Linked DNA regions of Canis lupus familiaris. The protein of the gene in region 1 interacts with the protein of each later gene in a pairwise test. Links are inferred from orthologs where the notes say so. Each region holds a gene or a part of one and is shown in the gene's direction. Other genes may lie near its edges.

Region 1 (4,147 bases):
CATATGCTGCAATCCAGCCCACGGGCTCAGAGTTGGGTGAGCCAGGGTCCCCATAGCGAGTAACTTGGGATGGTGGGTACTTGGCCAACCAGGCATCCAGCTCGGTGGCAGGTGTGGTGCGAGCATCAAACACCAGCCAGGGGTCCATGTCAGCTGCCATGGCCTCTGCGGCCAGGTGCTCAGCAGTGAAGCCATCCTCGCGGCCGCCTGGAGAGTCTTCCTCCTCCATCTCTTCACCTGGCTCCATCCTGCCATGAAGGAACAGAGTTAGAGCAGGTCCAGGACAGACGTACAACGTGCTGGGCCCTAGCTGGTGCAGCCAATGGGCTTAAACTCCGTGGCCTTAGGCAAGACTTAAGGTCTGGTGCCTCAGCTGCCTCATCTTTACAGTGGACAAAAGCTGTTCCTGTCCCGTAGAGCTATGGAGCATTAAACGCCTAAGGTGGAATAAGCGCTGCATAAAGGTTATTACTAATGCTATTACCACTCTCCCCAATTTACAGACCAGAAAATCGAAGCTCAGGGAGAAGTGACCCACCCAAGGTCACACCTGCAATGAGTGACAGGGGCCGAAATGTGAATTCAGGTGTGGGAGCAACCAGCCCAGCTACACCTCCCGGCCCTGCCCGGAACTGGCAGGCATCCCGATCGCAGGATTCAGCGGAGGGAGGCAGAGAAGCGCACTTTCGCGTAGCATCGAGGCAGGCCCAGCAGGACCAGACCCCCGGGCTGGCGCTGTCGGGCCTACTTGAGCACGAGCACATTGATGCCCGGAAAGAGCCGTGACCAGTCCAAGGCCAACGGGGCGACAGCCGGACTGGAACCCAGGCTTGGTAGAGCCTACGAGAGCGCCAGCCTCGGGCCCGCCGCGCCCGCCGCCATTAGCGCCCACAGCCCGAGCCGCGCCCCCGCCCAGCCCTGCCCCCTCCCGCAGCCCCGCCGTCACCTCCGGCCTTCGCCGCGCTCGGCGCCGGCCCAGCCCCGCGCCCGGCTACGCTCCTGCCGGGGCTCCGCGCCGCCGCCGCCGCCGCCGCCGCCCCCGCCGCGCCCCGCCCCCGCCACGGCTGCCGCCGCCGCCATCTTAGCGCCCGCCGCCTCAACAACAACTTTATAGACAAGCGCAGCACGGGGCGGGGCCGCCGGGCCTGTCGCCCGCGCCGCGGGGCGGGGCCTGCGAGGGGAGGGACTGACCCCGGGGGCGGGGCCGCCAGGGGAACCGGGGCGGGGCGGGGCGGGGCCTCGGGGGCGGGGCTAACGTTCGCTTTCCTAGGCTTGGGGGCCGGCGGGAGCGGCGCTCCGGTCCCGGATCGACGCGCACCGCCCGGGAGGCCGCAAGGGGAGGGCGCTCCGGCCCTGCGAGCGGCGTCCTGACCGGCGGCGCTAGGACCGCGTGGGGAGCGGCGGGGGCGGAGCAGGCGGCACCAGGACCCGGGGGAACCGCGGCAGGCGGGTGGCGAGCAGGCCCGGGGGCCGGGAAGCTGCGGGCGGCGGCGCTGGGCCCGGCGTGGCGAGAGAGGCCCTGAGATGCCGAGCAAGAAGAAAAAGTATAACGCGCGGTTCCCGCCGGTGAGCACGTGGCCAGGCCCCCGAGGAGCGGGCCGGGCTCTTTGGAGGCTCGGGCCCGAGCCGGGCTTGGGGAGGTTGCGTGGGGGGGCGGGCGCACCGTGGTGTTCGGGGTACGAACGCCCCGCCCCCTTCCGTGCCCTCCCGGCGTCCGGGTCCCCAGCCCTCTCTCCCGGGAGAACCTCTCTCGTTAGCCCCCAGCACCCCTTTCGGGGATGGAGGCGACAGGGTCCGAGTTTTCTGCCCCCTCCCCAGGCGCGGATCAAGAAGATCATGCAAACTGACGAAGAGATTGGGAAGGTGGCGGCGGCAGTGCCTGTCATCATCTGTATCCTGTCGGGGCCTGGCCAGGTTGAGGGACCTGGGGTAGGGAGGGAGCCCGGGGTCGCCTTGTTTAGGTTGGGGATCCCCCACCCGTGTTCTCCTTGACGCTCCTCAGCCCGGGCGCTCGAGCTGTTCCTAGAGTCGCTGTTGAAAAAGGCTTGCCAGGTGACCCAGTCCCGAAACGCCAAGACCATGACCACATCCCACCTGTGAGTGGCCTGGGAGCTGGTTGGGCCCAGTGGAACCTTGCCCCAGGAGTTCACACACTTAGGAGAGGTGGGAGGCTGCTGGGAGACCAGCAACGCCTCGAATATGGGTGGGTTTGAACTGGGGGAGGAGGGGTTGGGTGGTGTAGCAAGGCGAGCAGGTTCCGTAGTGGAGATGGGATGGAGGTTCTCCAGGCTCTATCCTCCTGATATCCATCTCCTGATATCTCCTGCTGTCCCTTGCTGAGAACCCAGACATCTGGGCCCCAGCTGAATTCCATCTTCTCCTCACCTCTTCCAGGAAACAGTGCATTGAGCTGGAGCAGCAGTTTGACTTTTTAAAGGATCTGGTGGCCTCTGTGCCTGACATGCAGGGAGACGGGGAAGACAACCACATGGATGGGGACAAGGGTACCCGCAGGTGGGGAGCCAGGGCCAGGTGTCCAGGCAAGGAAGGCCAAGGCCAACTGGGGTTGGGGGTGACTGGGAGGGGGTGGTCAGGGATGGTGAGACCTCTGGGCAGATGGACTGTACCTTCCCAAAGGGGTCGGAAGCCAGGCAGCAGTGGCCGGAAGAATGGTGGGATGGGAAGCAAAAGCAAGGACAAGAAGCTGTCAGGGACGGACTCAGAGCAAGAGGTGAGTGAGGCCCGCAGCCCTCTGGTCTACTGTGTGGTGTGGAGGGGGTGGTCTTGTATCTGGCCTAGCATGCTGGCTGGACACCCGGACCCATCCTCACCTATGGTTTTTTGTAAATTAGGGCTGTAAAGTTAAGGCTAGAGAGTTCAATGTCTTGTCCCTGCCGCTCCCAGGGATCTAGGCTCGCCAGTGATGGGCTCATGCTTTTCTTGTCACTTCTGACCCCTGCCTTGCTCCCAGGATGAGTCTGAGGACACAGACACTGAGGGAGAAGAGGAGGCACCCCAGGCGCCACCCCAGGCTGGCCATCCCCCTGCCCACTTTCAGAGGTAATCAGCTTGGTGGCACCAGATGAGGCTAGCAGACTCCTCAAGGCTGGCCTGCTCTTGTGGCCACTTGGTTTTGTTGTTTGTGGAAGATTTGGTGGATGAGAGGGGAGGAACTGAGGAGGGCTTAAAGGCAGAATGCTGCTGTCAGAAGATCCCCTCCCCTACCCCCACCCAGCCCCATTGGAGGGGGCCTGGGCAGGAGCTGTGTGACCTGCTCTGGGTTCTTCCCTTCTCTGGGCTCGGCTGCCCCTGGGTACAGAAGGCCGGGGGCTCCATGCTCACAAGGGTGGGGTAGGTGGGCACTGGCAAGGGGCCTGATCTTTCTCTTCTGCTTTCTGCCCTGCAGCCCCCCGACACCCTTCATGCCCTTCACTTCGACTCTGCCTCTGCCCCCAGCACCCCCGGGCCCCTCAGCACCTGACGCAGAGGATGAAGAGGACTATGACTCCTAGCGGCCTCTGCCCCCCCCCCAGGCCACACCCCCTTTTAGTTGGTTTTAGTTGCTCTGGGGGGAGGAGAGAAGATAGAGCTGTTCTTAAATTTATTAAAAAATTAATAAAAGGGAACACCAGTGTCTGTCCCAGCCTATGTCCAGGGCTTTGTGGCCACCTCCCCATCCATCTACCTGTTTTCCCCATGCTGAGCTGAGGCCAGAAGTGGTGGTAGGCAGGGCAGCAGCTGAGTGAGGGAGGCTCCAGAGGCCATGGTCCTGCCAGGGTAGGAGCAGGGGTGCTGACAGAAGGCAGAGTGGTGGTGGAGGGCTGGAGCCAGAGGTGCTGGTTGTGCTGGAGGATGACCTGTCCTGTTTTGCTGTGTGACCCTGGCAAGGTTCCTATCTTTGAGTGGCCTCTCCTTATCTCCCCGGTAGAGATCTTTCTGCCTACTCCGGGCTACTGCAAATAGACAGATTGGACAAACAATGGGAAGAGGACTTGCAAGCTATAGAGCTCTGTGCCTGGTGCCATGAAGGGCGTGTGGGAAGGGGCAGTGGGAGCAGAGACAGGTGGGATTGTCAGGGGCCTCAGAGATCAGCTTCTGAGCAGGAGAGTGACCCATTTGGTCAGTCCACTCCCATTTCTGAGTAGAC
Region 2 (3,648 bases), on another chromosome or scaffold:
TCCTCTGACTTAGAAGCCATTATAGGGTTATTAATCGGCCTAATTTCAATATTGTTGAGTCTCAGGGAATAGGGAGGCCCAAGGAGAGAGGGAGAGAGATGGGGAAACAGCTGCTCAGTAGAACACACAAATTTATTAAGTTTGCTGTCTTAAAAGTGTGCAGTTTGTGGAGCCCCAAAACAATAGTAACATCAAAGATCACAGATCACTGTAAGAAATACAGTGAATAAATTTGAAATGTTACAAGAATTACTAACATGTGACAGAGACCTGAAGTGAGCAAATGCTGTTGGAATAAGGGCGCCAATAGACTTGCTCAACTTGGGTTGCCTTAAACTTTCAGTTTGTTAACAGTACAAAAACACGGTCTCTGCAAAGTGCAGTAAAATGAAGCACAATAAAACAAGGTATGCCTTTTCTTCCCATTAATAATTGTGCTGGCTTTGGGCCTGGGAGAATGATTTTCTAATACAAAGAAATACCCATTTGTAATATTTTGTGAGTTTGTAATAAAAAAAATGGCTTTTGAGTTTTATTTGCTTGCCTTTATAGCACCTTTGGAGATGATCCTTTCATTTTTCTCCTTAGGTCTATTAGGTGATGGTTTATACTCTTGAGCTCTCTCACAGGTACTCATTTACACCATCTCAACCTGGTACTTATTCTACTGAGGATTAGAGAGGAGGCACAGGGTAGATTTCTTGGGCTTATACAGAGTGTATAAGTTATGTTTCCTTAGAAATGTCTATTCATTCAGATTTAAAAATTTTTTTGCATAAAGTTATAAAACCTTGTTTTACAGGGTACAGGAGCTGCAAGTTTTGATGAATTTGGCAATTCTAAGTACCAAAATCGGAGAACAATGAGTAGTTCTGATCGGGCAATGATGAATGCTTTCAAAGAAATCACTACTATGGCAGACAGAATCAACCTCCCCCGAAATATAGTTGTAAGTTTTTGTCTGTCTCCTTTAAGCCATTCTGACATTGACTTAGTGTAATTTATTGAACACATGAAATTTTGATATTGCAACTAATTAAATGGCCTAGAGTTAATTAAACTTAGTTTCTTTGCTTTGAAGGATCGAACAAATAATTTATTCAAGCAAGTATATGAACAGAAGAGCCTGAAGGGAAGAGCTAATGATGCCATAGCTTCCGCTTGTCTCTATATTGCCTGTAGACAAGAAGGGGTTCCTAGGACATTCAAAGGTAAGTTTTTAATTGCAGAGATACAAATATTCTCTGTGTTAAAGTAACAGACCAAAGTCAAGGAACTTGGACACCACATAACTAAGTCAGGTTTCCCTGGTTACGTACGATATCCATCTTGGTATCATTTCCAAAAATACCTCTTTAATTTGTTCTCTGATAAAAATTAATTCTGTGATCTGAACCATGTTCTTCTCAGGCTCTTTTCCCATGTAAAGTCATTTTAGTCCATGTAAGCTCTGTGTTCTTTGCTTGTGAGATCTTTTGAGCTGACTGCATTTTGTGGCCTTTGAGGCCTGTTATCATAAGCCAGAGTATACCTTTGTTACTGGTTAAGTCTGTACACTTGATGCACAGAAAACTATTTCTAAGACCATGCACAGGTCTCTACAGGTGAAGGAGTCAAGCCTTAGAAAACATCAGGGACATTTTTCTCAAGTTCTGTAGTTTGCACTTTCACCCTTAAGTTGGAGGGTTTGAAAGAACTAGTATTTTTCATCCAGTTTGTATTCAAGATTAATATAGGACAGCTTATTCACAGTGCTGCTGTCTGTGACCCTTATTGCTCTGACTTTCTCCGCCAGAGTTCATTTCAGCTTAAGATTTTCATTACCTTTCATTCACCCATGAATATCTTACAATGAAGCAGTGGCTTTTTTTTTTTTAATTTTTATTTATTTATTCTTGAGATATAGAGACAGGCAGAGACACAGGCAGAGGGAGAAGCAGGCTCCATGCAGGGAGCCCGATGTGAGACTTGATCCCAGGTCTCCAGGATCACGCCCTGGGGCTGAAGGCGGGGCTAAACCACTGAGCTAAACCACTGAGCCACCGGGGCGAGGCAGTGGCTTTTATCCTCCTCATCTTTTTGTTTATTACAACTAAAACTAAGGCTTTTGTTAAATTTGTGTTTGGTAGTTTAATTTTTAGAATAACAGAGTCAAATACTTGATCTCATTTTGTTGTTATAGCCTATGACCCCAGGGATTGCATATACATATGACATTGGGTAGCTTGAGAAGTATCCTTTAGCTTTGAGTATATTCTTTTATCTCCTTGATACACACTCCTTACAAAAGATTTATACATAAATATCAATGGAGTTTTGGATTATTTGAAAAAACTTGTTTCTTTGAATTGAAACTTGTTAGTATTTTGAAATAATAAAAACCGACATTTAACTCATTTCAAAGACTTCTTTAAAGTGTGATAAACATTTAAATTAATTGAGGGGGTGCCTGGGTGGCTCAGTCAGTTAAGTATCTGATTCTTGGCTTTGGCTCAGGTCATGATCTCAGGGAGATCATGTGATCTAGATTGATAAGTGCCGCATCAGGCTTCAGGCTCAGTGCGGAGTCTGCTTGAGAATCTCTCTCCCTCCTCCTCCCCACTGCTCGTGCGTGCTCACTCTAAAACTAAATATATCTTTTTTAAAAAAATTAACTGAGAAATTTTAAATTAGCTCTATGGGAAGTATTGAGAGGCATGTTTTGTTCTTTATTGAGGTAACTGGTATGTTATATACCGTGTGTGCCTGTGTGTGTACACCATATATACCATATATACTATATGTGCCATAGGTGAGTTCTAGTTGCACAATATTATACATTTGACCCTTGAACAACACAAATTTGAACTTCACACATCTAATTATATGCAGATTTTTTTTTTTTTTTTTTTACATAGTGCAGTACTGTAAGTGTAGTTTCTCTTACGATTTTTTTTTTTTTTTAAAGATTTTATTATTCATGAGAGACACAGAAAGAGGCAGACACAGGCAGAGGGAGAAGCAGGCTCCATGCAGGGAGCCCGATGCGAGACTCAATCCCAGAACTACAGGATCATGCCCTGAACCAAAGGCAGATGCAACCACTGAGTCACCCAGGCGTCCCATCTCTTATGATATTATTAATATTGTCTCTGGCTTTTTTGTTAAAATACAATCCATAATATACAAAATGTTGACTATTATTGCTAAGGCTTTCATTCAACAGTATGCTACTGGTAGTTCAAGTTTTGGGGAGGGTAAAAAGTTATTCATGGATTTTTGACTGTGCTGGGAGTTGGCACCCTCTAATCCCTGAGTTGTTCAGGGGTCAACTGTAATTTGACATATGTTACATACTACAAAGTAATCACTAAAATCCAGCTACCAGCCATCACCATATAGTTGATTCCCTTCACTCATTTTGCCTACTCAACTCCTTTCCCCTCTTGTAACCACCAGTGTGTTCTGTGTCCATGAGTTTTTATTTGTTAATTTTTTGTTTTCGTTTTCCACATATGAGTAAAATCATATGGTATTGGTCTTTCTCAGTCTTCGTAGCATAATACTTTCTAGTGACAAGATTTTATTCTTTTTTAAGGCAGAATAGTATCCATTGTATTGATATACCTCCTCTTCATCTATCTATTGATAGAAAGACTGTTTCCGTAT

What was found.
Region 2: the proteins of DRAP1 (region 1) and GTF2B interact in binary tests that used the Homo sapiens proteins (3 or more experiments, as listed by UniProt). The two-hybrid records come from large-scale screens. The link is inferred for Canis lupus familiaris from reciprocal best matches to the Homo sapiens genes DRAP1 and GTF2B.

The regions. Positions count from the first base shown.
Region 1 is NC_049239.1:51,852,008-51,856,154, reverse strand, and holds DRAP1 (dr1-associated corepressor), read left to right. Parts: upstream 1-1,404; 5' UTR 1,405-1,524; coding exon 1,525-1,566; intron 1,567-1,818; coding exon 1,819-1,891; intron 1,892-2,002; coding exon 2,003-2,096; intron 2,097-2,394; coding exon 2,395-2,514; intron 2,515-2,637; coding exon 2,638-2,731; intron 2,732-2,904; coding exon of another isoform or gene 2,905-2,971; coding exon 2,972-3,060; intron 3,061-3,406; coding exon 3,407-3,512; 3' UTR 3,513-3,643; downstream 3,644-4,147. Other genes in the region: C18H11orf68 (UPF0696 protein C11orf68 homolog), read right to left, coding at 1-248, 947-1,080. UniProt on the Homo sapiens protein: The association of the DR1/DRAP1 heterodimer with TBP results in a functional repression of both activated and basal transcription of class II genes.
Region 2 is NC_049227.1:60,037,261-60,040,908, forward strand, and holds part of GTF2B (transcription initiation factor IIB), read left to right. Parts: intron 1-802; coding exon 803-949; intron 950-1,081; coding exon 1,082-1,211; intron 1,212-3,648. UniProt on the Homo sapiens protein: General transcription factor that plays a role in transcription initiation by RNA polymerase II (Pol II). Involved in the pre-initiation complex (PIC) formation and Pol II recruitment at promoter DNA.